4 linked regions of the Pelodiscus sinensis genome follow. The protein of the gene in region 1 interacts with the protein of each later gene in a pairwise test. Links are inferred from orthologs where the notes say so. Each region holds a gene or a part of one and is shown in the gene's direction. Other genes may lie near its edges. The genes, in order: NTAQ1, macrophage migration inhibitory factor, RBPMS and ACTG1.

Region 1 (6,987 bases):
GTTTAAAATTTAGGTCTGTTAAAATTTAAATTATGCAACTATGAAGCTTTATGACTACTGTGAAATTAACTGAAAAACATGTTGTTTTGCATTTCAGAAGTGACATGTACATACATACACCTTCAGTTGGAATGTCACGTAGACCAGAAATGTCCAGACTGTCATTTAGTAGTTAAATAGATTTGAACATTTGACTTTCATATACGAATTATTTTCCTACAAAGTTGAAGTTATAGAGTGGCATTCCCCATGGTTTTACTGTGGATATGGAAACATTTAATGGATTCCAGAGGAGTTAACAGAGGGACAGATCTGTGTGGAGCATTTTGACCTGGTTTAACTTTCTAACCAAACGACTTTCATTGCTCCTTTCTAGCACTCTACAATTTTATGCTTCAGCAGGTTCCATCATCGTGTAAAGACATGATCTGCCCTCACTGATTTGTTTAAAGTGTTAACTGAACTCTAATGACTGCAGTTAACAAAATTTTAAGCTTTATTATGTGTTAATCTGCACAATCCACCTCGGTAATATTTCATCGTTGTAGCCTTGGCCTCAGCTTTTAAAAAGATGAGTTATCTCCTGAGGTAACATTAACTATCCTGAAATCAAACAAAACAGTGGCCGCAAGGAGATAAACAGAGCCAACCACAGTAAGAGAGTTATGACCTCACCAAGTTACATCAGAAAGAGTGTAAAGCGCTGTCTCACCTATGTTACTTATCCCCGCACTTAAAGCCACACAATTTTAACCCTAAGGGCCAGGCTCTGACCCTTAAACAGTAGGTGAGCAGGAGGCTCTGGAGCCAGCCCTTGGGGAGCGACCACAGCTTCGCGGTTACTCCGGTTACCAAAAGCCAGAAGGAGCCAGGGGCAGAGACAACCCCAGAATAAGGAAGACGAGTTCGACGTGCCACCACAAGCTCCCTCAGCCCTCACTCTGGCTGGCTCCCTACTCCGCCCAGCACCAGGGGGTGGAGTTTAGCAGGCCACGCCTCTATTTTTTTGCAGGCGGGGTGGGGTCACCCCTCTCGCCCGCGGCCAGGAGAGCTCAGCTCCCCCTCCCCCACCTAGTGCGCACTGGCAGCGCCCCTCACCACGGAGGCCAGTGCGGCGGTGGGGTTCTCGTGCGCTCCAGGCGGCATCCGCCTCGATCTGCACAGCCAGGCTGCCCTGTACTCACGTTGCCCGCTGCTGACGGCGCTCTCCTGGCTCCTCTGCCGCACTTGCTGCCGGAGGCGGCTGTGGCCGAGCGGGTGCCCATCCTGCGGCTCCGCGGCGCGGGGGTCAAGGACAGGAACTCGGCACTCGAGTCCATCAGGTCGTACAGGGACGCCTGGCTGCCCCGGGACGCGGCAGACTGGAGCGGACTGCCGCTGCCCGTGCTGCTCCGTAGCATCACCATGGCCGGAGCTGGCGCGTCCCCGGCTGAAGAAGGGGGCGGCGGCTTCTCTCCGAATTCTGGCGCCACAAACCGCGGGCTGCCGCGTCACCGCCCTCCCGTCGTATCCCTCCGCCTCTACCTCTCATTAGAGCAGAGTAGCGCCACTAGTGAAATACGGCACCCGCTCTTACACTCCTTCGTTGACTTTTCGGCCAGCCCGAGGCGGACCGTTCCGTCCGGTTGTCTCTTAGGACTCTTTCTCCCTGTAGGTTAGTTCCCGAAGGGAGGCGGAGAGACACGCATAGGTGATGCGTCCTTTTGGAATTTTTGGCGCGTGCAAAGTTGGAAGACTGTTTTACCCGGCTCTGATTGGCTACAAGAAAGGCGCTCAGCAGCCCGCCCCAGTGTTTCCCGCTGAAATGGGACTGAGTCAAATGCCCGTCCCTTAAAGGGACACTGCCCGTGTTTCAGACAGCTGTTCCTCAATCACAGAGCAAGAGCCCGGCGTGGGGCAGCTGCAGTCCTTACAAGAGCCTACGGTAAAGGACCTGGCTTTTGTGTGATCTGCTAGGACCTGTGACATCTGCAGTCCAACTTTTTAATATTTGTAGCAACAAGCTCTTTTTTTAAAAAAACAAGGACCTAAAGTTAGACTCCCATTCCACTTTTTAACACCTGGATTATGGTTTGATTTTTAAAAATAGTGGACACCCCAAAACTCGTATTGGGGGAGGTTTGGGCATTGATTTAGTAAGCAGCCCATCTGTAAATTCCTTATTTTAGAAAATATTGATCTTTGGCTATCCTAGGCCCATCTTGGGGACATAACTCTAGTAGCTAGCATATTCCATCACAGGAGTGCAATAATCACATTTTGACTCCAAAATAAACTGTTTAAGCAAAGTCCTGCCCCCACTTCCTCTATTTTGCTTCCCACTGCCAGTGCAATAAGCCAAATAGAAGTTTAGAATATTAAGATTTCATTCTCTCAAAAAGTTTAAAATCATGCAAAGTTTAGCACACTTCAATAAAAAGTAAGTTGTGTGCTACAAAGCTCATAGCCAAACAGCCAAAATGCTGATGTGATCTCAGTCATAAAAAATTGAGAACTTGCTGTAGTTTTGATGTGACACCATTTTACAGAAGTGTCACGGCCTGGAAATAAATTAAGAAATGTTTTGTGGTGCTAGGGGAAAAAATGTCAAACTTTCTACACAGTCCCTCCTGAAGGTAGTCCTGCCCATTGCCAAACTATGGGGTAAGACATAATAGCTACTAGACAAATGTACAGCACTTTTGCACAACAACGAATACAGCTTTTTAATATCAAAAGTATTTTACATTATTAAACCTCCTGACTTTGTGTGGTGCTACCTGTAAAAACACTGTATAAAAGTATGCTGTTTTGTGTGTTGTATGGCCAGGAGATTAAAGTCCCTTGTGCAGCCACTGGTTTTGCCAGGGTATGCAAGTTTCCACAGGTTTTCAGGACTTTAAATGGGCTTGATCTCTTTCCACTAATTTAACAAAAAGACAACTAGAAATGGATATATTGAACTTGAAATAGCTTTAGTCTGTAAAGTGCTACTAGACTATTTCTTGATTTTTAAGTCTTTCCTGTTACAGACTAACTTGGCTATCTCTCTAAAGCCGTGGTCCCCACCATGGCGCCCGCGGGGGCATTCGTGTGCGCCCGCCACGTGCTCGGGGCTGGCCTGGCCCTGGGCACGTGGTGCACGCACAGTGCCGGAGCCGGCTCCAGGCGCATGGTGAGCGCCGGCCCCAGGGGGCGGGGATGGGGGGTGAGCGCCGGCCCCGGGGGGCGGGGATGGGGGGTGAGCGCCGGCCCCGGGCGCTTGGGGGGGGGGAGGAGGGAGCGCCGGCCCCGGGCGCGCGGCGCTTGGAGGGGGGGCGCTGGCCCCGGCCCCGGGCGCTTGGAGGGGGGCGGCGCCGGCCCCGGGCACACGGAGCTTGGGGGGGAGGGGGCTCCGGCCTCGGGCGCATGGCTATGGGGGGACCCCGCCCCCATCCCCGCCCCCTGGCGCCCAGCGGGCGAACTGCCACGCCCCCTGGCGCCCGGCAACCTCCACAGGTTGGGGACCACTGCTCTAAAGCTTATCTACTCACTGTCACATTTTTTCTGCCCCTCCTTTTTTTTCTTCTCCTCCCCCCTCCCTTATTTATTCTTGGATATGAATTTCCAACACTCTGGTCATCTGAAGAAGTGGGTTGTGCCCACAAAAGCGACATCTACATGTACCATCTACATATTTTCTTAGTCTTTAAGGTGCTACTGAACTATTTGTTGTTTTTTAAGGTTTTCCTGTTACAAACTCTGCTACCCCTCTGAAGCTTTTGAAATAGCTGTTTGGCCTTGTACATTTAAGACAAAAAATACTTCTCTGGGGATGTTTTCTATGCACTTTGAGAACAGGTTTCCTTTTCATCCCCAGCATTTTCCTGTGGCTCATGTTCAGCCTTTCCCTCACTAACAGGTGCAGATTTAATTAATCTTCCCTTTTCATCAGCTAGCCCAGCCCAGCCCTGCCCTCTTGTCAAGGCTTGTTCTGGTCTCTCCCTCCCTTCCATTGTAAGTTCAGGATCTCACCTCCCCACTCAAACCCCCTCTCCTTTGTTTTGGCAGCCTCTGGATCATCTCATTAAGCTAAAACGTCCCTTTTGCTCATCCTGACTCAAATTTTGCAACCTATTCTGGGTTAAAAAATTCCCTTTTCCCACCCTTCTGATTCAACTTGACCCCTTCTCTCCTGCCTTTGATGTAACATGGTGGGGTTTAATAGAGCAATTAGAAACTTATCTTGTTTCGTATCCAAGATAAAACCCCTCCCTCCTGCCTGCCTGAGCTCCTAGTCATAGGAAAGCACTAACATCCGGATTTCCTTGGGGGAAGAAATTGCTTGTAACTCACTAACTTCCGGCATAAACACTTCCTGAGCGAGCCGGTGCTTTATACAGCTGGGGGAGGTGTATGAGCCTATTAGCCTATTAAACCCAGCACTCCCATATCTCTGGATGAGGGTCGCATATGGAACAGACAGAAGTAGGAGCTGCAGGTTACCAGCCAGCTGTCCCTGCTCGGCATGCTTGTGTGTATACCAGCTGCTATTGGTAAGTAGTAATAGGTATGTAAGAAATGTGGCTGGGTAAATCTTCTTTTTCATTAGTCAAGGAATTAATGCACAAAGAGTGGATGTACTGAAAGTCATTGTTTTCCATTGGAATCTCCCATATTTCCATTTTTCTTTAGAAAACTTGTACATACTCTTGCAGGAGGCAAAGCAGAAGAAAATGAGGTCATAACAGCCTGGAGATAGAATATTATTTTTCTTATGATAGCATTTGATATTCTAGGAAAAAAGGATGCATTGGTTAGGACACTCATAGTACTGGTTAACCAAGATGATTGGAGGATGATTTACTGACAAATAACAATATACAAGATCATTGTATGGCTTTCTGAATAGCTTATCAGAACATAATTTATGGTTCCATTAATAATTTGTGCATCCTGTCCTATTATCAGTGACAGTTTATTTAGAATTGTGCAAAACTATTAATAGTAGTATTAAATGTTATATACACGATTATTACTTTAGAATTGTGCTAAACTATTATATATATATATATATATATAAAATTAATATGTCACTAAGATCAGATGGAAGTCTATTTAAAATTTTATATTTGTCAAGTTGTTTCATACACTTGATGACATGTATCTTTCCAGGTAAAATGTTTATTTAACCTAATTTGTTGACACTTTAATCAAAACTACTTTGCCACAAACAGTAAGGAAAAGACAAAACACTAACTATACCAATCATTTGGTATTAAAGCATGTCATGACAGAGTAAACCAAGCTATGCTTCTTGCTGTCTAATAGTAGAGCCAAAAAAACCTATGAATTATTTGTGTAAAACCTTTTTAAAGGCTTGAACCTACATTTTAGAGCTTAAAAATACATGTGTGAAAGGAGCTGGGAAAAAGTCTTCAACAGAAAAATGAATCCAAAAGTGGGAAAGTTATAACAGCCATGCTGTTTTTATTGTATAAATCAGAAATAAAACAAGAACTGGGGACAAAAAAAACCTTGTATTTTTACAGTGAGGAAAATGTTTGGAAACTTTGTGAATACATCAGAAGCTATGATCAATATCCTTTAGAAGAATTTTTTGCTGTTTTCATATCCAATGAAAGAAGGATGGTAAGTTGATAAGTTGCCTTATTGAATCAAAACCGATTTACTGTGAATGAAAGATGGATCCAGGCTAGGTTTGCCATGTGTCCAGTTTTGAGCTTTCTGTCTAGGAAACAAATTGAGAAAATACCGGACATATAAATGTCTGGTATTTTCTAATTAAGTAAGTTTTATTATTATCATGAGTAACAATACATAGTTGCATACTGCCTGGCTCGTAGACACACTCACACTGTGTGAGTGTGTCTATTGGCCAGGCAGTATGCAACTACACAGTAGAGAGGAGGTGGGTGGTGCCAGGTTGGGATGGAATCCCTAGGGCCGGACTTACCTGTGCACCCTGCCAAGACCGTGTGCGGGACGGGCAGCACCCCGGGATCTCCGTGCACCCGGGCCAGCCCCGCTTCCCGCTGGCCGGTTTCCCCTTCTCTCCCTCCTGGTCAGCCCTGCTTCCTGTAACTGGTCCCTCATCCCCAATGTGAGATCATGTATGTCCGGTATTTTTCTGAAACACTCTGGTAACCCTAATCCAGGCACAAATGTGGCCAGACCCCTGTAGCTCACCTGGGCCCCCTGGTCACACAGATATTGAAAAGAACCTAAAAGGCACGTCTTTTAGTCATGTATGGTAGTCTGTCCCTTGGGGTGGACATCTGGAGAAGTATCACCTCCCTGAGAATGGGATAGCAGGGATTCCTTTATTACTATCAGTCAGCGGAGGAGACTGAATGGTCTGTGTGATCCAAAACAATGCCCAAAGTTTAAGCTCAAAAGTTAAAAAACAATCTGATAAAAGCTTACGTGTTGCATCACAGATAAACACTAATTTTATCATCTCATATTAGACAAATTGTAGATTTTTTTTTTTAAAGCTTACTTAACATTAGCTTCTAACTGGTAATTTGCAGATACCACTGTGGAAGCAACAATCAGGACGTGGAGATGAACCTGTGATTTGGGTAAGACATTCTGGTCTATATAGATTCTTGTACCATGTTTAATTGTTCTAGTACTACCAACATGTTAAGCAATAAAAATAATCAGACTTCACCAACCTGTTAGAATTCTTTGAAGGTGTCAGCAAATGAGGGTGATCCAGTGTATGTAGTGTACCAGAACCTTCAGAAAGTCTTTGACAAGGTCCTTCACCAAAATCTCTTAAGCAGGGATGCTGAAAGCTTCTGAGGGCCTCTGGGCAAGGGGGGTGAGAGCAGTGGCTGTGCACTCTGGGAAGGGATGGGTCTTGGACAGAAGGGGTGGGGCTTGAGAAGCCAGCTCTCAGTGCCCCCCTCCTCTGCCTTCAGAGCCACCTGGCGTGCCAATTTAAAGGGAATTACTGAGCCCAGGGCAACAACTCCCTTTGCCTGCTCTTAAGCAAAGTAA
Region 2 (7,821 bases), on another chromosome or scaffold:
GGCCTCATCCTCCCTGACTGGACCCACCTCGTCATCTCCAGTCTGATCCTGGCCTGCATATTTATACCTGCCTCTGGAAATTTCCACTACCTGCATCTGACGAAGTGGGTCTTTGCCCACGAAAGCTTATGCTCCAACACTTTGGTTAATCTATAAGGTGCCACAGGACTCCTCACCGCTTTTGTTTAAGGGGACCAGCCCCCCTTTGACAATACTTAAGGAAATGTGCTTCCTAAAAATGCTGTTTAATATATAAAATGGTTCCTTTTAAACAGAGTTCAGTCACGTTAGCCTGTGTGGAGAAATTAAAAATTAATTTAGGAACGTATGTTCTACTAGGTAAAAATCTGGGCTTCTAAATGAAGTTTAGATATGCTTTATGGCCTGATTATAGTAGCCGGTCTAACAAAATGTAAACAGAATTAACTTGAACTGATTTTAAATTGTATTTAAAAATAGTTTGAATAGCATGGCTTCCCTGGCTCTGCCCTTCTTTTAGAATCAGGCTGTGTCTACACTTCCATGTGACTGACAAAACATTTATCAGCCACGGGTGCTTAACCCCACCCCCCTCCGTGAAGGACAAAGTTTTGCCGCAGCAAGTGAAAGTGTGAACACTGCTGTGTCAGCAGGAGAGCTCAGCTGTCCCCGAAGCGGAACCCCCTTGTTGGGGGCACAAGTGTTCAGTCAACACAAGTGCCAACAAACTGGGCTCACACATGCTGACTTCTATCCAGGGCTGGTGTGATTATCTATCGGGTTTAGTTTGAATGGGGCATTGTGGCCCAGGCCACCAGCGATGCGCATCAGCCCAGAGCTCTGTCTCTGCCCATGCAGAGCTTCAGCAGCTGCTCCCCCAGCGAAGCAAAGTGATCCTGGGAAGGCAGCAACCGGCATGGGGGCACATGGGGCACATTCAGCACCAGTGTGCATGGCAACTTCCTCCTCCTGTGGGCTGGGGGCCCCTCCAGGGGGGAGGCCACCACTGCGATGTGCTGCCCACAGCTTTGGGACATGCCTTAGGTAGAATCCGCCACCCAGGACAGAGGGGCCAATAATAAAGTGCAGGGCCATGTGCGGGGGAACTGACTGCACACACCTCATGCTGGCCCTGCTTTTCGTGACAGGGCTATATCCACACAGACTTGTGGCTAAAAGCTGTAGAGTGAAGCTATAACCTCCGTCGGCACATTTTAAACTAACGGTAGGGCGACCCTGCGAACCCTGCCTGTATCTGTATTAGCAAAAGTGTGTCCAAAATTGTACTTACACTAAAAAAAACCCATAGTTGTCGGTAGGTAGGTAACTGCTTAGAGGAAAGCAGATCACATCTGCTTCAAAAGGGCAGTATCAGGTCCTAGGATTTGGAATGTGCAGAGACAGCAAATGGACAAACTCCACTCATTTATCCCCCCTCCCGCTTTTCAGCAGCTGAGCAATTTCCAATGACATAGAAGACTGGAATGGAAGCAGGGCCAGCTCTAGTTTTTTGCCACCCCGAGCAAAAAAAATCCCGCCCCCCTTTTTTTGTTGGCTTTTACACGTTTGCACTTTGCAGTGTTTTGTTTGTTTGTTTTCATTTTTGTTGTCCCGGCATTTTAGCCCTATAAATAGCAAATGTAATCTTAATTATTTTTTTTCCATAAATGCAAAAGCACTTCAAGTAAACTCCCTCTCCCCTTTCACTTGCTGCTGGGTCACAACAGCCTTTTCCCTGCCCTGTCCAGCCCCGCCCTATGGACAAGCACCCCTCACTCCCAACCCACCGGGGCAGCAGAGCCAGCACAGAGCCAGAGGGGCAGGGGCAACAGGGGGAGCAAGGGGACTGGGGTGCTGGGGTGCACAGAGCCAGAAGGGTGCAAGGAACAGTGTGGGCATACAGGGGTGGCACAGGGAATGGGAGGCGCAGGGTGCGGGGTGCAGAGGAGGCACAGGGAATGGGATGCAGGGAACGGGAGGGGCAGAGGGATCGGGGTCCAGGAGCAGTGCAGGAAATGGGGGACACAGACCCAGAGGAGTGCAGGGAAAAGGGGCTGCGGGGTACAGAGGTGGCACAGAGCCAGAGAGATGTGGGGACTGGGGTGCAGGGGCAGCGCAGGGAACGGGTGGCGCAGAGCCAGAGGGACGAAGGGAACAGGGAGAACAAAGGGACTGGGGTGCAGGGGAGCAGGGTGCGGGGTGCAGGGGCGGTGTGGGGAACGGGTGGTATGGAGCCAGAGGGGCACGGGGCGGGGCGGGCACAGCGAGCCGGGCAGCCGGCAGGGAGCGGTCTCTCGCCGGCCAAGGGAACTGGGGCCGCCGCAGGACTGGAGCCAGCAGGGAGGGGCAGAGCCTGGCTGTGCCGCGCTCCGCAGCCAGCTCCCGGGGACACACAACCAGAGCCAAGCTCCCTTTTAAATTGTCAGGGCGGGGCGGGGCTGGGCAGTGCCGGGGGATGTCTGCTTACCTGGAAATGTCGCCCCTGGAATTGTGCTGCCCCAAGGATGTGCTTGATTTGCTGGTATCTAGAGCCGGCCCTAAATGTTAATTAGGAGCTTAACCCTTTTGAGGATCTGGACCTAACTGCTTTGCATTGCATTAAAAAAAATGTTGGGTGCGATTCCAGCATCTTAATTTTTTCAATACCTTTCTTCCTGAGATTTATTATTTATTGTTATTATTATTATTATTATAAAATACAGTAGAACCTGAGAATTACAAATACCTCGAGAATGAGCATTCTTTGTAACTCTGAAATGTATGCAGCCCTGAAGAAAAAGTTATGGTAGCTCTTTCAAAAAGGTTACAACTGAATACTAACAATACAGCTTTGAAACTTTACAATGCAGAAGAAAAATGCTGCTTAACTTTTTTTTTGTAAGTTTACATTTAATGCAGTGCTGTATTGTATTTGCTTTTTGTTTATTTTGTTTCTACTGCTGCCTGAGATGTACTTCTGGATCCGAATGAGGTATGTGTTTGACTGGTCAGTTCATAACTCTGGTGTTCATAACTCTGAGTCTCTATTGTATGAGGCCATGCTTAAGTGAGAACAAAAGGCACAGGTCACATTTTATAAAGTATGCTGTGTAACCAAAAATGAATGCTTAAACTCGTGTGTGCATGTGCAACATATACACACTCCAAGTGAGTTACACATGCACATGGGCAGTTTTAGTGAACATGCAAGCCCTATGCATACCTGAAATCCAAAGAGAGGGCCCAACATTGCCTCTCAGTGTGTAGGGGAAACCCGCCAAAGTGGAGAAGAGTACATCCACAGCATCACTCCCGAGAAAGACCATAGATCCTCTCCGTACAAGAACAGCAGCATGGCTAGGGTTCTACTGTTTTGGGGTTGGCAGACCAGGGAAAGTGAGAATATCTGGGGTGCAGTCACTGACTGCAGCACGCTCCTCCCCCTCTTCCCGTATTGCATAAATTCCCAGAAGCAATACCCTTACCTTCCTGCAATCTTTCAGGGAGCTGGAGGTTGGGGAGCAGAGAAGGAGAATGATTTAAGCAATTGCAAGGAATAATAGAGACAGCTCATTTTTCTAAATGGTATTACAAAAACATCTTAAAACATTCACCCGTGTTCTTGACCCAGACGCTGCCTTTCATTATTTATTGTACACTGGTTTTGTGGGTCATTACTTATTATAGGATTATGTATATATTGGCTCTGTCTGTGTGTGTTGTGGCCCTCCATTTATATATATAGTGTGTGTGTGTGTGTGTGTGTGTGTGTGTATTACCCTCCATTTTGTGAGTCATCTGACTAGTGCGAATTGGGGATGACATGCTACCTACCAGTCTGCCTGAGCAGCATTGGGGAAAGCTACGTGCATCTCAGCACGCAGCCCAGCAGAGGGCTCATGTCCCAAGCAGCCTTTGGCTTCTACATAAAGGCAGCTCACTCCTCTTCAGGCACGAGCCAGGATCAGAGCACGTCTGCATAATTCAGTTCCAACAAGAACACAGACTATAGACTAGTGATAGAGATGCAGCCCTGTTAGTCTGGTCTAGCTGAAACAAAAGACAGGACACAATAGAGAAATCGTGGCCACAATCGTTTCCTATGTAAGAGTGAAAAGCAAAAGAGAAGAACTGTAGAACTCATGCCAGCAACACAGACATAAGCCATGGTTTGCATTATGTGATGGGGGTGGGGGGAAGAGAACCAGGCAAACCCAAACACACATGTTTGTATATAAAAAAAGTGCAGAGGGCTACCATTTATTTTGCAAATAAAAGAGCACTTTCTGGGTAGAACTTGCGTGTTTGCCCCCATCCTGCAGACCGGCTTATGGTAGGTGTCACCCCACCATCCATAGTCCCACTGAAATCAGAGGATGGGCGGGACCTATTCACAGCATAAGTCTTTATCTGATATTAGCCTCATACAATGGCTTATCTGAGCCAGGGCCAGTTCTTACAGCGCCCAGCACAACGGGGTCCATAGGAGAGCCTTTGGGTATTCCCGCAATATAAATATGTATATAAATATTTATCAGTATATAAAATACAGAATCTACACATTTCATAGTTACAGGGATATAAATTCTATTGATATAGAATGTATACAGTTATTTAATAAAATAATAATAAAGCAAATGCCTGAGCAAAGGGAGGCATGGGGAGACGCCCGGCAGGAATGACGAGGGGAAACTACACACACTTCACATCCAGCAGGTGCCCCAGGACCGCGCTTGAACGGATTGTGCAGTTGCCAAAATGCGCTGCGGAGAGGGACCCGTGTTTGGGGCGCTGCTGTCCCTTTAAGAATCTGGCCTAGCGCTGATCACATGGGCTGCATTTCGGAGCATCCAGCGAGGGAGGAGGGCAGGGTCTCCGGTTCAGCTCCATTTTGCAGCAGCAGCGGCGGCGGCAGCGGCGGAACGGGTTGCTGCAGGGGCAAAGGGTCCGCATTGCAGACAGGGGCAGTTCTTTGCAAGGCTCCAAGATGCCCATGTTTGTGGTGAACACCAACGTGAGCAAGGACGCGGTGCCGGAGAGCCTGACGGGGGAGCTCACCCAGCAGCTAGCAAAGGCGACCGGCAAGCCTGCCCAGGTGAGTTGCGGAGGCTGTAACTCCATCCCGGCGCTGCAGGTTGCTTGCAGAAAGGGCAAGTCGCAGCGCCGACGGATGCTAGAGTTAGCCGGGAGCCTTGGTGCTGGTCTCCCCGCTAGGGGCTTTCTTTCTCACCCTAGCGGAAACAGAATTGAGTCTCTTGTAACTATTCTCAGTGTAAAGGGGAGATCTCTAATTTCTCTGGACAGCCTTTAGTCCAGCTTGGGTTGTCTGTCTGGGGGAGTGAGGCGAGACGGGGATGGAAGGCCTGCAGCACGTGGAAGCGTGCTTGCATGGCCCCAGGGGGCTGGCTGCTTCTCCGCTGTGGAATAAATGACTGTGCGTCTGACTCATAGGCAGAAGTGACACTACACTGCCTCGTGGACAAGGCCAGGCGCTAGGGGTGCATGGTTTGGGCGGGTTCTCGCATGCTTATCTGCTCGTTAAAGCGAATAAACTATCCCAGTTTGCCATAGAGAGGTGTGCTTGTGGGAGGGAACGGTCCTGTTAAAATGGGTAGGTTCCCATTGCAATGGGTGTATAACCTGGCAAGTAACCTTACTAACCTGGCAAGTTCCTGTCACCAAGTATTTTGCTCTATGAGGTCCACAAAAGCAAGATCAAAATGGGTCTTCGCTATTAAAGAATGGTGTGTACAAAAGACTAATGCTACCTGAGGTCACCATTTTTTGACTGTGTTGCAAGAAAGCCCGATGGGACATTAAAACTTGCCACAGAGGGCAGCAATGGGTAAGAAGGATCGTGACTCAGCTCCAGGCAAAGTTTCATATCCTGTTAAGTCAAGAAAATGTTCCACTAATATCCTGCACATACAGAGGCTTCTCATCCCCAAAGCTCTCAGACACTTTGCAAATATGGGTGTGCATCTTTGGCTTCTCTTAGCAGAGGTATAGAGTAGCCAAGTAGCTTGCCTTAGGTGATACAGTGGCTATTATCTGCTGGAATTTTCTGTGAATGTCCCTTCCATTTCACAGTAATGGGAGCTAAAGCTCTATTAGCATCAGAGTAGACAGCCCATTATTGTTTTGATCACTCTGTTATCCTAACATGCCTGTAAGCAGGCTTAGCAGATGAGGTGGCCATGGGCTTACTCCATGAATTGCAGTCACACTATTTCAGTGGTACTGGTGTAAAATGAGAACCAAAAGGCTGGTGTACCAACAGTCAACACCAGTGAATCTGTGGTAGAGCAAGCAAGAGAACAGAGCCCTCCTGTGCTTAAAGTTTTATAGATTTATGGGAGCAAGCTGATTGGTCAGTGGCTTCTGTAATGTGCCATGTATAGAGGCTAACAATTATAGCCCTACCAATAGCTGAACATTGACTGGCTAGAAAGCAAGTCCTATTGAATATTAGCGTCAATGAAGAGGATTACTAAGTCATTCTTCACAGAATTATTTAAAATTAAGCTGGGGGGCTACATCGCTATGTGTCTGGCAAAGGTACTGTACTATTGCAGTGGATGCTTTAGAAATGTACAATTAAACACCACTTGTGCTTGCCATAGCTAATCCCAGGAAACAAGCCTGCTCTCTGGATTCCAACTAAATACACCTCAGAGGAGAGAGATTGAGGACGGAATATTAACCTCCTCACTAACAGTTGATTTTGTTTCGCAGTACATAGCTGTGCACATTGTAGCAGATCAGCTGATGTCCTTTGGAGGCTCCACGGATCCCTGTGCCCTTTGCAGCCTGCACAGCATTGGCAAGATAGGAGGCCAGCAGAACAAGAACTATACCAAGCTGTTGTGTGACCTGCTCACTAAACAACTGCACATACCTGCAGATAGGTAAGGCTGCACTAGAGTGACATTCAAATTACTGGCTTGCCTAAATTATTTCTTTGGATTCTCTATTATGCTCCCTGGTGGCTGTTGTTTATTAACACCCAAGGGAAAACTCTTATCTATTGTGAATAGAGAGATACAACTTTCAGACTTCACAACAGTCGTGTGCTGGTGCCATGAATTGGCCCCAGATTAATGTGGTTCAGGTGGCTCTCAACCTTTCCAGATTACTGTACCTCTTTAAGGAGTCTCTGGCATACCCGCAAGTGTTCTCACTTAAATACTTGCTTACAAAATCAGACAAAAATAGCTTACTTTCTTATTTTTACCATAGAATTATAAAATACATGAGAATATAAATATTGAATATATATATTTCATCATACAGCCCTATAAACAAGTCATTTTATGAAATTGTAGTGTGTACTGACTTGACTTGTACTTTTTATGCAGTGTATTGTAAAACTACGCAAATATCTAAATGAGTTGATGTATCCCCAGAAGACCTCTGCATACCCCTTGTTGAGAACCACTGGTCTAGTAGGCTACCTATAATCCCAAGTGGCTGGCTGATATAGTATAATCTGAGCCTTGGGAGTTAGGGTTAAATATGATACACAAATGAATAATATTCAGTGCCCTCTTCTTTTTTTTTTTTTTTTTTTTTTTCCTGGCATGAAGGATGATCATTGGGCACCTTGGGGAGTTTGGAGGTAGGCAAGGAGACCCAGAAGAATTCTGCCACTTGACAAGCAGCTGCTGTTCTGTCAGCCAGCAAGGGAGTAGAGCAGCAGTACCCAGTGGCAACCAGGAGGAGCTGCTGCTGCTGCCTATGTGTGAAGAGGCAGGGATTAGTGATGTTAGCGACTAGTTGACTATCCGATAAGCAAATGCTTATCGGGTAGTCAAATAGGAACTCGACTAGTCGCTTCCCCACCCCTTGCTGCTTCTGTCAGAG
Region 3 (7,265 bases), on another chromosome or scaffold:
GAGAGAGGGCAGGCCGCCCGGCTCCGGAGCAGGACATGACGCGTGTGGAGCTGCGCTGGCTGTGGACGGGCTTGGAGAGGAAATTTGAACAGGCTGGGGCTCCATTTGGCGCGGAGGGGCTGTTCTAAGTGGCGTGGGCAGCAGCAGCAGCACAGGAGTTCCTGGCTAAGAAGAAGGCAGCCAGGGGACCATAGGACGCTACGGCTTGAAAGTTAGTGAAAGAGCCCAGAGACAAGGTGAAGCCGACCCTTTCGCTGAACGTACAGTATGGAAGAAGCCAGTGGTACAGCCTCTGCCCATGCAGACACAGCCCTCCCCCCTGCCCCTTGTGATCCATAGAGCCCCAGGCGTCCTGCACTCCTGCCAGGTGGTCCGTGCGGCTCGGGGAACACTGGACAGCAGAGGCATCCTGCCCAGCCAGTGAACAGGGCAGGAGCAGCTCTCTGCAATTCACTAGGGGTCCTTTCAGCCAGAGCACTCACAATCCGCCCATTCATCCCCCCTCCCGCCAGCACAGGGAAGTAAGAGACACACCTCGCGTCTCCTGCTCTGCCCCACTGCAGCTGCTTAACCCTTCTATGCCTGTGGGGTAGCCACTCCGAGCCGCAGCAGGCCTGTCCTCAGGACTTGTGGGGCCCTACGCCCCAAAGCAGCGGGGGGGGGGGAGAACTTTTAGAGCTGTGAATTTTATACACTTCAGCAACACCCGAATGAAAGTAAATTCAGAACCTGACAGTATATACCTGGAGTTGACAAATGCCTGTTCAGTTACTTCATTCTCCCTTGAATGGCTCTTTCACAGTTTCAATGTCTGTTAACTGCGCTGGCTTTTTCATTTTTACGTTAACTAGATCCTCTCCGGAAGAAGCGGAGTCACAGAACAGCGCTAAGAAGAGGCAGGTGGGTGGATATTAAGACCCACTGGTGCCCCACATTTTTGGGGGCCCTACGCAGCTGCATATTCTGCATATGGGTAAGGCTAGCCCTGAGTCAAGCATATCATTCATAACAGTCCTACACACACGACCCCCCTCCCAATCAGCATACTGCCATGTGCTTGGGCCTGAGATTGCATTAGGCCTGGAGAAATATTTTGTATGGGATGCGAATTGTCTTTCGTCCATTTGTGCAGAGGTGCAATAAGAGAGGTAGCCCCAGAAGCGTGTGCACACAATGTGAGAGAGAAGAGCACAAGAGCATAAGAACGGCCACGCTGAGTCAGATCAAAGGTCCATCCAACCCAGTGCCTGTTTTCCAACCGTGGCCAATACCAGATGCCCCAGAGCGAGGGAACACACCAGGGAATCCTCAAGTGACCCCTTTCCTGTCAGCCATTTCCGGCCTCTGACAAACAGACGCCATCCCTGCCCATCCTGGCTAATAGCCATTGGTGGACCTAACCTCCATGAATTTAATCTAGCTCTTTTTTGAACCCTGTTAGGCTACATCTACACAGCAAAGCTATTTCGGTAGTATCCCGAAATAGCTAATCTGTGTCTTTTGAGCGCGCCAATTATTTTGAAATATAATGGGCTCGCTATTCTGATATCCCTGTAAACCTCGTTCCACAAGGGTTAAGGGATGTTTTGGAATAGTACCTTATTTCCAAAGTTCAAAATAAGCTATTTTGAAATTACCTCGAAATAAGCTACACAATTAGCGCAAATTGCGTAGCTTATTTCAAGGTAAGGGTGCAGCGGAGATGCACCCTTAGGATATGTCTAGACTACATTGCTCTGTCGACGGAGCCATGTAGATGAGTTTACTAGACATAGGAAAATGAAGCGGCGATTTAAATAATCACTGCTTCATTTACATCAAAATGGCCGCCGCGCTGTGCCAATCAGCTTTTTGATGGCACAGCGGGGCAGTCTGGATGCACTGCGGTCGATGTGGGAAGCCTTTGTTGACCACCCCGGTATGCCTCATGAAATGAGGTTTACCGGAGCGGTTGACAAAGGCTTCCCTCATCGACCGCGGCACGTCCAGACTGCCCCGCTGTGCCGCCAAACAGTTGATCGGCACAGCATGGTGGCCATTTTGATGTAAATGCAGCAGTGATTATTTAAATCGCCGCTTCATTTTCCTATGTCTAGTAAACTCATCTACATGGCTCTGTCAATGGAGACATGTAGTCTAGACATACCCTTAAATTCCTGGTCTTCACAACATCCTCTGGCAAGGAGTTTCACAGGTTGACTGTGCACTTCATGAAGAAAAACTTCCTTTTGTTTGTTTTAAAACGGCTTCCCATTAATTTCATTTGGTGACCCCTAGTTCTTATGTTATGGGAACAAGTAAAAAACTTTTCCTTATTTACTTTCTCCATACCTGTCATGATTTTCTATACCTCTATCATCCTCCCCACCTTAATCTCCTCTTCCCTAAGATGAAAAGTCCCAGTCTTTTTAATCTCTTTTCATATGGGATCTGTTCCAAACCCCTCATCATTTTTTTTGCCCTTTTCTGAACTTTTCCAGTGCCAAGATATCCTTTTTGAGATGTGGTGACCACATCTGTATGCAGTATTCAAGATAAAGCAGAGTAGTGTGTTTTTGGGGCCCAGGGCAGGTCACCCCCAACAGTCACCTCTAAGGGAACAAAGCAACACCCACAGGTCGGGGAAGATGCTTCATTTTGGACCCTCCTTCAAGCATCCCCTGGCGCATGGAGACAGACAGCCTGTGCTGCCCTGTGTATCTGCCGTGCTGGCCAAGTTCTGTAAGTGCCACCAGTGTACCAAGGAAGCTGGGTGCTGGGAAGGGGTCTGGGAGGGTGGATAGGTACCCCTCTAGGGAAAGAGGCATATGTTGTATGCTGGGGGGGAGCCCACGGGCCCATTTGTCACCCTTGTCTGTCCCCACCCCAGTGCTGGGACTGTGCTGTGTGACATCTCTCTCTTCTGCAGGGGCCGGCTGAGTTTCAATGAGGTGCCTCTTTCGGCCTTGACAATTGAGGGACTCTCTCCATTGCCCCCGGTGTCAGGGCACTGGAGTGCGGGGGGACTGTCCAGTCTCTCCTCTGCCCTGCTTCCGGCACAGCCACTCTGGTCCGAGCTCAGACTGCCAGCGTTGAAACCAACTGACAGTGTCTTACAGGGACTGTCCTATTGCAACCTGGTCCCTGCCAGCTCTTTCCAGAGCTCCTTGCTGGAGCTGCACACCCGGGCACACCTGCTTACTGTCACCTCTGGACTGCACTCAATGGGCTGAGCTGAGACCAAGGGGGGTTGCGAATCAGTGTTTCCTGAAAGCAATCCAGGAGACATTCAGGTGCAGCCCAGCTCATTAGCAGAGATCTCACAGCAAGTGTTTCTACTGATGGGTGCACAGCTGCTCGTGACGTGGTGCACATAACATTTATTCTGCACAGGTATGGAAAAAGAGGGAACATTGGTAAGGGGGAAGTAATATGTGAATGTGGGGGGCTATGGCTAGATCTTGCAATGGGATCTGTGGAGGCATAGCCTGTTGTCAGGGGAGTGCCCAGCCTTCAGTGGGGCTCAGTGTAGATCCAGCATAGCCCAGGACTGCACCAGTGCTCTCCTGCTCAGGATGCAAGAGGAGAAACTCAGAACAAGTGCAAAGTTGGTTCAATGTAAAGTTGCTCCTTATAATGTGATCCTGTGATTTTCAAAGTACACGTTGCAGCCCAGCGCTGGGTCGTGGGATGCCAGGCACTGGGGTGCCGTGCTGTAGGGTGGCCAGTGAGGGTGCTGAGGCAGGCCCCCTGTCTGTCCTGGCACCAGAAACTGTACTGGGCCCTCGGAAGCGGCCAGCAGAAGGTTTAACTCCTAGGCCAGGTGGCCATGGGACTCCATGTACTGTCCCCACCCCGGGCACCAGATCTGCAGTCTCATTGGCTGTTTCCTGACCAATGGCAGCTGGGGAGGCCCTCACACCTGAGCCCCCACACACCTGAGCAACCCTCACTGATGGGGGGCTCACTCAGAAGGAGACAGACAGTCCCCACGTTCTCCTTGGGCAGAGTCTAGGGGGCCCTGGCCTGGTAGATTTTGTGCGCTCAAGCCCCATGGTGGGGCGGCAGGGACTCCCTGATGGGGGGGGGAGCCCTGAGCCTCAGGGGCTGCATCCGGCCCACGGGCCTGAGGTTCCCCACCTCTGCTCTAGCGAGTGGGGCACCTCGATGTGCAACATTGGCGGCGGGTGCCTGGTGCCTTAGAACAGTACATGGGGGGGAGGTGCCAGGGCCCCAGGGGGCGAGGCCCATTGGCGGCTGGTGCCCAAGGGAGCAGGGTTAGGGGCTGAATGAGTGGCCACAACAGCAGAACCCTCCACCCCCCGGCGGTGAGGCTGCCCTCGGGGCTGCGCCATTGTGACTGGCAGCCCACGAGGGAGCGGGCCCCGGGCGCGCAGGGCCCCACACCCGGCCCCGCCCCGTCCCCACGCCAGGGGGCCGGGAGGCGCTGGCCTCGGAGCGCGCAAGGCGCACGGCCCCCGGACTCCTGCCCCAGCGGCGGCCGCGCTGGCTGCCCCCGCCCCCGCGCCGCTGCTCCCTGCCGGGCCGGGCCGGGCTGGGCCGCCGGGGGCTCAGAGCAGCGCCGCCCGCCCCGCCTGGATGCTGCTGCCAGCGGCAGGGACCAGCCTCTCCGCAGCCGGCTCCGCGCGCCCCGGGACGGCAGCATGAACAGCCTCCCCGCCGACAAGGACAGCGGCCCGGCCGAGCCCAGCCTGCCCGAGGACGAGGTGCGGGACGGGGCCCCGGGGGAGCGGGGCACAGGGTCTGGGGGGGCGGGCGGGCAGTGTGGCTACTGGGGGGAGCGGGGCAGGAGGTGCGGGGGCCGGGGAGCGGGACGGGGTGTGTGGGGAGGCTAGAGGGGAGCGGGGTAGGGGGGCCGGGCGGGGCGTCGAGGGGAGCGGGGCTGGGGCGCAGGGGGAGCGGTGTGGGGGGCTGGGGTGCAGGGGGAGCGGTGTGGGGGGCTGGGGTGCAGGGGGAGCGGTGTGGGGGGCTGGGGCGCAGGGGGAGCGGTGTGGGGGGCTGGGGCGCAGGGGGAGCGGTGTGGGGGGCTGGGGTGCAGGGGGAGCGGTGTGGGGGGCTGGGGCTGGGGGGAGCGGTGTAGGGGGGCCGGGCGGGGGGAGCGGTGTAGGGGCCGGATCCCGGAGGGGAGCGGGGCTGGGGCGCAGGGGGAGCGGTGTAGGGGGGCCGGGCGGGGAGGGGAGCGGTGTGGGGGGCCGGGCGGGGAGGGGAGCGGTGTAGGGGGGCCGGGCGGGGGGAGCGGTGTAGGGGCCGGATCCCGGAGGGGAGCGGGGCTGGGGAGTAGCTAGGAGGCTCCGGAGGTGCCCGCGGTCTGTCCCGGGCGCTCCGGCCGCCCCGCCGGGCTCACTCAGGTGTTTGCTCCGCTCCGGCCGGGCCCCGCCTTCGCCCGCTGCGGGGACGGCGCCCGGGCCGCGGAGCGCCACCTCCGGGGCCGCGCCTTCCCGCTGCCCCCCGCCGCGCAGGGCGGCTCGGCCGGCGGGACTCGTGGTGCCCTGGAGCGCTCAGCTCCCGTGGCCCCGCGCCGCTCGGCTCCAGCTAGAGCCCCCAGCCAGCGTGTGCGGGCTGAGTCCCCCTGCGCGCTGCTGGGGCTGTGTGCCTGGCTGGCACTGCCCTGCCCCGGGCGCTCTGGGGCTGTGTGCCTGGCTGGCACTGCCCTGCCCCGGGCGCTCTGGGGCTGTGTGCCTGGCTGGCACTGCCCTGCCCCGGGCGCTCTGGGGCTGTGTGCCTGGCTGGCACTGCCCTGCCCCGGGCGCTCTGGGGCTGTGTGCCTGGCTGGCACTGCCCTGCCCCGGGCGCTCTGGGGCTGTGTGCCTGGCTGGCACTGCCCTGCCCCGGGCGCTCTGGGGCTGTGTGCCTGGCTGGCACCGTCCTGCCCTGCCCCGGGCGCTCTGGGGCTGTGTGCCTGGCTGGCACTGCCCTGCCCCGGGCGCTCTGGGGCTGTGTGCCTGGCTGGCACTGCCCTGCCCCGGGCGCTCTGGGGCTGTGTGCCTGACTGGCACTGCCTGCCCTGCCCCGGGCGCTCTGGGGCTGTGTGCCTGGCTGGCACTGCCTGCCCTGCCCCGGGCGCTCTGGGGCTGTGTGCCTGGCTGGCACTGCCCGCCCTGCCCCGGGCGCTCTGGGGCTGTGTGCCTGACTGGCACTGCCTGCCCTGCCCCGGGCGCTCTGGGGCTGTGTGCCTGGCTGGCACTGCCTGCCCTGCCCCGGGCGCTCTGGGGCTGTGTGCCTGGCTGGCACTGCCCTGCCCCGGGCGCTCTGGGGCTGTGTGCCTGGCTGGCACTGCCCTGCCCCGGGCGCTCTGGGGCTGTGTGCCTGGCTGGCACTGCCCTGCCCCGGGCGCTCTGGGGCTGTGTGCCTGGCTGGCACTGCCCTGCCCCGGGCGCTCTGGGGCTGTGTGCCTGACTGGCACTGCCTGCCCTGCCCCGGGCGCTCTGGGGCTGTGTGCCTGGCTGGCACTGCCCGCCCTGCCCCGGGCGCTCTGGGGCTGTGTGCCTGGCTGGCACTGCCCTGTCCCGGGCGCTCTGGGGCTGTGTGCCTGGCTGGCACTGCCCGCCCTGCCCCGGGCGCTCTGGGGCTGTGTGCCTGGCTGGCACTGCCCGCCCTGCCCCGGGCGCTCTGGGGCTGTGTGCCTGGCTGGCACTGCCCTGCCCCGGGCGCTCTGGGGCTGTGTGCCTGGCTGGCACTGCCCTGCCCCGGGCGCTCTGGGGCTGTGTGCCTGGCTGGCACTGCCCTGCCCCGGGCGCTCTGGGGCTGTGTGCCTGGCTGGCACCGCCCGCCCTGCCCCGGGCGCTCTGGGGCTGTGTGCCTGGCTGGCACTGCCCGCCCTGCCCCGGGCGCTCTGGGGCTGTGTGCCTGGCTGGCACTGCCCTGCCCCGGGCGCTCTGGGGCTGTGTGCCTGGCTGGCACTGCCCTGCCCCGGGCGCTCTGGGGCTGTGTGCCTGGCTGGCACTGCCTGCCCTGCCCGGCTGGGGGATCCCAGGACAGCACCCAGACAGCAGCAGTGCAGGGGAGTGCCATACGCCCGTTCCAGGAAGCACTGCATGGCAGGGTGAGCAGGGGAGAGGCCCATGCTGTTGTGCGTTGCCAGGGCAGTGCGGTTACATAGGGTCTCCATGCAGTGGAGTGCAGAGGCAGGCACGCCCGGGAGGCGAGGCCTCTCTCAAAGCACACCCCGCACCTACTGCCTGGCCGCATTTCAGGAGGGTTGGTAACTCTGCTTAATTCCTCTCAGTGTGTTTCTGGGGCCAGCCAGGTCAGGCTCACCAGCCCCA
Region 4 (7,078 bases), on another chromosome or scaffold:
CCTTGGTAAGTTGATTTTTTTTCGCTCAATGAGTTTTGCTGCTATTGGGGGGGGGGGGGGCGTGAGGGTTTCTCAAAAATCAGAAAGGGGGCGTGATGCTGAAAAGTTTGGGAACCACTGCTCTAGGCCAATCAGAACCCACCCCACTGCCCTATGGCTACTTGCTTCATAGCTCCGGCCCGGGAGGGAGAAAGCAAAGCAGCGAGAGAAACCTTTGACCGGTGCTCGGGGGCGCTGTGTCTGATGCCTGGCAGCTGGTGATACCCTGCGGGCGGCAGCCTTGATGCCCGTTTGCCCCCCGAGCGCTCCGGCAGAAGGGAGGGTGCTCCAGGCAGCCATTCGGGGCAGGCTGGCATTGTTCTTCGTATGTGCTGGGGTCTCGTCCCCACTCGGACGGGCAGAAGGCGTGGCGGTCCCCGGGGGGTACTGTGCCTGGTGTATTTCGAGGGGGTCTACAGGCTGATGTGGGTCGGGGGCACGGGTCAGACGGGTTATCTGAGATGAGTGTTCTGCCCCCGCTCTCGTCACCTGGAGCCCAGGGCTGCCCTACCCAGGATCTGAGTCTGATAGGGAGTTACTCATCCGCGCTGACGAGTGGGGATTGGCGGAGCTGGCAATCGGCTTCCTAGTTTGGACAAGAGGAAGAGAAACAAGTTACTGTCCGGGGGAGGAGGCGCGTCACGGGCACCTACAGCAGGGCTGGCTGGTTAGCCACCTCTGGATGGAGCCCGTGGGGATGGGAAGCGCCCAGCAGTTAACCTGTCGGGTGCCAATCTTGCTTGTGTGCCACAGGGATTTGCAGGCCATCCAGACCCTTGTCTGCAGAGCGGGTTTGCCAGGCCATTGCGCCGGGCCGGGAGAACAAAGAACAGCAGGCGTGGCCCCCCCTCCCGCCCTCTCACCCCAAAGGCCTGGCTGGTTTCCATCAGCACCTCTAGAGCACGGCTATAAAAGCCTTTTAGTGCCGAGGGGATGAATAATGGCTGTTTCCTCTGGTGATTAACCCACCCCCCGCCAGGCCAGGGCCGGCAGTGATGGAAGATGACGTGTTTTTCCCAGAGGCGCTGGAGGTGTCCTGGGCTGGAAGGGGAAAGGCAAAGAGGACCGCCAGCCCACCGCCACCTGGCTATTCATCGCTAATATTAGGAACCCCCCCCCATTGTAAAGAACTCGTCCACATAGTAACTTCCAATCCCACCCCACCTACATGCCACATGCCAGGAAATTCTCTGAGCTCCACCCCCTCTGATTTTTTTTTTTTTTAGAGATGAGCTGATCTGGTGTCCACTCCTGTGTATTTCATTCCTCCAGCTAATCCAGGGGTGTGTTGCTTCGTTTGTGTACACTGGCCTGCCAGAACCAAGCTCACCTTTCCTGCTTCCAAGGTAATGGTGGAGTTTGTTTATGTAGCACCCACATGTGCTCAGGGCTTTACATGACAAAGCCCTTTCTCCAAAAGGGTGGAGTCTCCCTGACAATGAAGATGGGGCTACAAAGATAGTGGCCTGCTCTCCAGAGGAGCCTTTTCCATCACTCCGAGCAGAGACTACACAACAACCTGAGTTGTATTCTGCACGCTGCGCTGCACACAATCATTGTCACACAACAGCCCTCCAGGCAGGGCCTACTCACGGTTCCAGTGGTAACTAGATGTCAGGGGTCCAGCCCTGCTAACTGGCTTGTTGTGACCTTGGAACAACCACTTCACCGTTCTCTGCCTCCATTTACCCACCTGTAAAATGGAGCTGAAGCTAGCTACTCCCTCAGCTGCTAGGCAGGAGAGTCCAGCAATGAGCCTCATCCAGCCTTTTGTTCCAATCAAGTCCTGCTGTCCATTCATTTGCATCATACAGCCAGATTTCAATCGACAATTAGTGATTATCTCCCCAGCCTGACTGACCTAGATTCCTGGGCAACAAAGATGCAGATCCCAACCTACTGGGCTAACCTCTTCCCACCCATACAGGTATGCTGAGAGTTGACAAACACATCCAAGTCACTTTGTACCCCGGTGTAGAACAGGGATGCTCTTTTCGGGGCCTGCTGTGTCATGCTTCACCCCAGAGATGGCTGCATTTCACTGCTGCTGTTTGCATACTCAGTACAACTGTACCTAGAAAATCACGTTTACCCGAAATCCCTGTTCCATGTCCCCTTGTTTTTAATTACATTCACTATTTCCCCCTTTGTCCATATTCATGCAGCTCCCATAATCCCCTAGCTGAGGACCCACTGCACTCTACAAGAGGGCTGGGCACTGAATAAACCTGAGTCACTTGGGGTTTGCTTTTTCTTGCAACTGTGATGCAGGAGGTATTATGTCCCCAGCAATGGCTCCCTGAGGCACCAGAAGAGCCCATGAAAACAACCACAAATGCAAACATTTCTTAGCTTGTTTGGAAACCCCTCTGAAGATGGCAATCGCGATTAAAAACAAATGCAAACCCGGGCAACCCACAGCTAGAGATGCCCGCCCGTCACTGTAAGGTGCCGTTGAAGCCCTAGCAGGAAAGAGGCTGTAAGATTTAAACCATCAAGTTGCAGGCCTTGATTGCAGGGCACTGGTGAGCATGCAGCCCAGGTAGCTCCCCAGGGGCGGCGGGGTGGCGCTGGGCACAAGGTGGCAGAGGCACTGCTAGAGCGAGAAGAGGGATTGGACGATGGGGTTACTGCTGCGGCTCATTAGGATGAAGGTGCGTGGCAGGGTCTGAATGCAACTGGTTAGCAGCTGAGACACAATTACAATACGCTGTGCCTGGGACACGCCATACCATGTCTGGGGGATGCGCTGCCAGTGCCTCTGGGACATGGGGGCACCCCTCCTGGCATGGGGCAGTGATATGTGATATATTTGAGTCAAACACTGCATGACCCAGGGGTGGCAGCAGGGCACAGCACAGGATGCAGGGGTGCCGTTGCGGAGTCTGGGGGTGCAGAGCATGGGTATACCAGGGAATGCAGAGCATGAGGGGGCACAGTGCAGGGCCTGGGGGTGCAGAGCATGAGATCCTGGGTTGCCAGTGGGTGCAGAGCGCAAGGGCTGGAGGTGTCAGGAGGCACAGGGTGTGGGGGCAATATTGGGGCACACAGCGCAGGGGATGTGGGGGGGATACTGGGGGGCACAGTGCAGGGTCCAGAGGGAGGGGGGCTGGTCCAACTGGGGGGGCTCCCGGGGGCTGGCTCAGGGCAGGGCCTGGGGGATATTGGGGGGCTCCCGGGGGCCGGCTCAGGGCAGGCTCGGGGGGATATTGGGGGGCTCCCAGGGGCCGGCTCAGGGCAGGCTCAGGGGGATATTGGGGGGCTCCCAGGGGCCGGCTCAGGGCAGGCTCAGGGGGATATTGGGGGGCTCCCAGGGGCCGGCTCAGGGCAGGCTCAGGGGGATATTGGGGGGCTCCCAGGGGCCGGCTCAGGGCAGGCTCGGGGGGATATTGGGGGGCTCCCAGGGGCCGGCTCAGGGCAGGCTCGGGGGGATATTGGGGGGCTCCCAGGGGCCGGCTCAGGGCAGGCTCGGGGGGATATTGGGGGGCTCCCGGGGGCAGGCTCGGGGCAGGCTCGGGGGGATATTGGGGGGCTCCCAGGGGCCGGCTCAGGGCAGGCTCGGGGGGATATTGGGGGGCTCCCGGGGGCAGGCTCGGGGCAGGCTCGGGGGGATATTGGGGGGCTCCCAGGGGCCGGCTCAGGGCAGGCTCAGGGGGATATTGGGGGGCTCCCGGGGGCAGGCTCGGGGCAGGCTCAGGGGGATATTGGGGGGCTCCCAGGGGCCGGCTCAGGGCAGGCTCGGGGGGATATTGGGGGGCTCCCGGGGGCCGGCTCAGGGGATATTGGGGGGCTCCCTGGGGCCGGCTCGGGGGGGTATCGGGGGGCTCCCTGGGGCCGGCTCGGGGGGGTATCGGGGGGCTCCCGGGGGCCGGGTCTCCCCGCTCCCGCTACTGGCCCAGGCCGCGCCCCCTTCTCCATGCAGGCTGCGGAGCGCGCTGAGCAAGGGAGGGGCGGGGCCAGGCCATCCAGCCGCCCCACGTGGCCTGGGCCGCGCCAGCCAATGGCCGCGCGTGTTTCGGAAAGATCTCCATATATGGCTATGTTCTCGGCCGGCGAGGCGGGGCCGGCGCCCCCGGGTATAAAAGGGCGGGGCTGCGCGCACCACGGTCTCACTCAGCCGGCGGCAGCGGACCCAGCAGCCTCGCGTCCCGCAGCACCGAGCGGAGCCTCCTGCCCACAGGTACTGCCCGGGCCGCGGGGCCTGGCGCCCGCCTGCGCCGCCCCCCTTCGCCAACCGCAGGCCGCGGCGGCGCGCCCCGGGCTCCTTCCCGGCGGGCCGGCTGGGGCGCGCGCCGCCCCCCCCTTTGGGGGTTCGCGGTGGTACCGCCCGGCCGGCCGTTTGAATGGCGCGAGGCCGTGGCCGTGTGCGGGCTCTGGCCAGGTAGGGGCTGTGATTGGTCCCCCTGGCGGGTGACGTAATAGAGCGGGAGGTTTGTTTGAATGGAGAGGGGTGGGGCTGCTTGTCGCTCTCCGCGGGCAGAGGGGCGGGGCTGTAGGCTAGCCCGTTGCTCCGGCAACAGGCCCCTGGCGCAGCGGGCGGGCGGGGGGAGAGGACCTGGCTGCGCCTCGCGCCCTGCCCGGGGCTGTAGGCGGCTGAGCGCGTGCTGCGGGCTGGGGGCAGGGCTGCCCTCGCTGCCATGGGGGGTGGCGCCTTTGCAAGCTGGGCGGGGCAGGCACGTCTGGCTCCAGCTGCTGGGATCCTGCAGGGCCAGGCCTGGGTGCAGTTAGTGACCCCCTGCAGGTGGGGGCCCCCCCGGCCTTGGCTTGCACCTGCAGGTGGCCCCCCCCCCCCCCCCCCCCCCCCCCCGGCCTTGGCTTGCAGCACAGACCGAGCTCTCCTGGCTCAGCCTGTGCTGGACCCGCCCTTGACCAAGGTCTCTCCCCTCTGCAGCAAGATCTCCACCATGGAAGAAGAAATTGCAGCGCTCGTCATCGACAATGGCTCTGGCATGTGCAAAGCTGGCTTTGCAGGAGATGATGCCCCTCGAGCCGTGTTCCCCTCCATTGTTGGGCGCCCGAGACACCAGGTGAGCAGCCAGCCACGTACCCGTGAAGTGAGAGTGGCCAGGTGTAATATTGCTGGGGGTTATGAAAAGGGGCCTTGACACTTACGGCCTGCCTTGTTTTTAAAGGGTGTCATGGTTGGCATGGGGCAGAAGGACAGCTATGTAGGCGATGAGGCCCAGAGCAAGAGAGGTATCCTGACTCTCAAGTACCCCATCGAGCACGGCATTGTCACCAACTGGGATGACATGGAGAAAATCTGGCATCACACTTTCTACAATGAGCTTCGTGTAGCACCTGAAGAACACCCTGTTCTGCTGACAGAAGCTCCCCTGAATCCCAAGGCCAACAGAGAGAAGATGACACAGGTACACTTGCTGCAGTAGTCTGTGATCTGCCTTCCTCCCTGTTTCACAAACCATCTCTTTCGTTATGGATCTCTTTTAAAACTCAAGTGTTCTTTCAATATTTTCAGGGCTCTGTACACCTCCTGGCATTTCCTTCCTGAAGTCTCAGGTTTCTTTTTTTGTTTTCTTTCTGCCTGCGTTCTTTGCTTTTCCTTTCCCAGCACATCAGTTTTTGCATGCAAGCATGTTTTCAAAGATTGGCTTGAGGCGAGGTTTTCGTACTACCTGTAGTAAAACAGAACTTTCTTTGCAGATCATGTTCGAAACCTTCAACACCCCAGCCATGTATGTTGCTATCCAGGCAGTGTTGTCCCTGTACGCCTCTGGTCGTACCACTGGTATTGTTATGGACTCTGGTGATGGTGTTACCCATACTGTGCCCATCTACGAGGGGTATGCTTTACCCCATGCCATCCTGCGTCTGGACTTGGCTGGCCGAGACCTGACAGACTACCTCATGAAGATCCTGACAGAAAGAGGCTACAGCTTCACCACCACAGCTGAAAGGGAAATTGTGCGTGACATCAAGGAAAAGCTGTGCTACGTTGCCCTGGATTTTGAACAGGAGATGGCTACTGCTGCTTCATCATCCTCCCTGGAGAAAAGCTATGAGTTGCCTGATGGTCAGGTGATCACCATTGGCAATGAGAGGTTCAGGTGTCCAGAGGCCCTCTTCCAGCCATCCTTCCTGGGTAAGTATCTACCAAACCGTCATCTGTGCTGGAACACAACAAGCCATGAGAATCGCTGGACTGCCAAGTGCTAGCTTTGCAGTGCTGACTGCAATCTAAAGCTGGTTAGGGGAGGGGTTGGGTAACTGAAGTCTGATCACTTCTGTCTCTTAGGTATGGAATCCTGTGGCATTCATGAAACCACTTTCAACTCCATCATGAAGTGTGATGTAGATATTCGAAAGGACCTGTATGCCAACACAGTATTGTCTGGGGGAACCACAATGTACCCTGGGATTGCTGACAGAATGCAGAAGGAAATCACAGCTCTGGCACCCAGTACGATGAAAATTAAGGTAAATGGCTCTCCTCTTTCCAAAGAGCTACTGAGTCATAGGAGGAGGCTGCCTTTCCAGATATTCTTGACCACTGACTAACTGCTTCTCCTGTCTTTCTAGATTATTGCTCCACCTGAGCGTAAATACTCCGTTTGGATTGGTGGCTCCATCTTGGCGTCTCTCTCTACCTTCCAGCAGATGTGGATCAGCAAGCAGGAATACGATGAGTCTGGCCCATCCATCGTCCACCGTAAATGCTTCTAAATGGACTTTTCACTAGTATACATTTGCCTGGGCAAATTTATACACTTCATGCTAGCCTCATAAAACTGGAATAAGCCTTTTTTCAAAAACTTGCCCTTGGGAAAGTCTGTAAGACAAATGTCAGTGACTCGAAGTTGCTGATTTGACCCTGTATTCAAGTTAACTGTTCCCCTGGTACATTTCAGCACCTACCCTGTATGTATCTGACCAAACCTTGGTACAGGTGGCATCACTCATGTGGCATAAATGCTAGGGTTAGCTTGTATTGGTAGAAGAATGTTCAAGTATCTCACTATGGGCTAGTGACTCCTGGTAATTCTAGGGTTTGAGCCTAGATTTGTACAGGGTATTTGTC

The links.
Region 2: the proteins of NTAQ1 (region 1) and macrophage migration inhibitory factor interact in binary tests that used the Homo sapiens proteins (3 or more experiments, as listed by UniProt). The two-hybrid records come from large-scale screens. The link is inferred for Pelodiscus sinensis from reciprocal best matches to the Homo sapiens genes NTAQ1 and MIF.
Region 3: the proteins of NTAQ1 (region 1) and RBPMS interact in binary tests that used the Homo sapiens proteins (3 or more experiments, as listed by UniProt). The two-hybrid records come from large-scale screens. The link is inferred for Pelodiscus sinensis from reciprocal best matches to the Homo sapiens genes NTAQ1 and RBPMS.
Region 4: the proteins of NTAQ1 (region 1) and ACTG1 interact in binary tests that used the Homo sapiens proteins (3 or more experiments, as listed by UniProt). The two-hybrid records come from large-scale screens. The link is inferred for Pelodiscus sinensis from reciprocal best matches to the Homo sapiens genes NTAQ1 and ACTG1.

What each region holds. Positions count from the first base shown.
Region 1 is NC_134712.1:19,804,309-19,811,295, reverse strand, and holds the start of NTAQ1 (protein N-terminal glutamine amidohydrolase), read left to right. Parts: upstream 1-3,979; 5' UTR 3,980-4,431; coding exon 4,432-4,514; intron 4,515-5,510; coding exon 5,511-5,610; exon of another isoform or gene 5,611-5,710; intron 5,711-6,512; coding exon 6,513-6,563; intron 6,564-6,987. Other genes in the region: ATAD2 (ATPase family AAA domain-containing protein 2), read right to left, coding at 1,185-1,406. UniProt on the Homo sapiens protein: Mediates the side-chain deamidation of N-terminal glutamine residues to glutamate, an important step in N-end rule pathway of protein degradation.
Region 2 is NC_134725.1:6,003,649-6,011,469, forward strand, and holds the start of macrophage migration inhibitory factor, read left to right. Parts: upstream 1-4,815; 5' UTR 4,816-4,945; coding exon 4,946-5,053; intron 5,054-6,693; coding exon 6,694-6,866; intron 6,867-7,821.
Region 3 is NC_134715.1:5,179,125-5,186,389, reverse strand, and holds the start of RBPMS (RNA-binding protein with multiple splicing), read left to right. Parts: upstream 1-4,260; 5' UTR 4,261-4,268; coding exon 4,269-4,706; intron 4,707-7,265.
Region 4 is NC_134730.1:27,479,141-27,486,218, forward strand, and holds the start of ACTG1 (actin, cytoplasmic 2), read left to right. Parts: upstream 1-4,077; 5' UTR 4,078-4,219; intron 4,220-4,930; 5' UTR 4,931-4,943; coding exon 4,944-5,066; intron 5,067-5,171; coding exon 5,172-5,411; intron 5,412-5,703; coding exon 5,704-6,142; intron 6,143-6,295; coding exon 6,296-6,477; intron 6,478-6,579; coding exon 6,580-6,723; 3' UTR 6,724-7,078. UniProt on the Homo sapiens protein: Actins are highly conserved proteins that are involved in various types of cell motility and are ubiquitously expressed in all eukaryotic cells.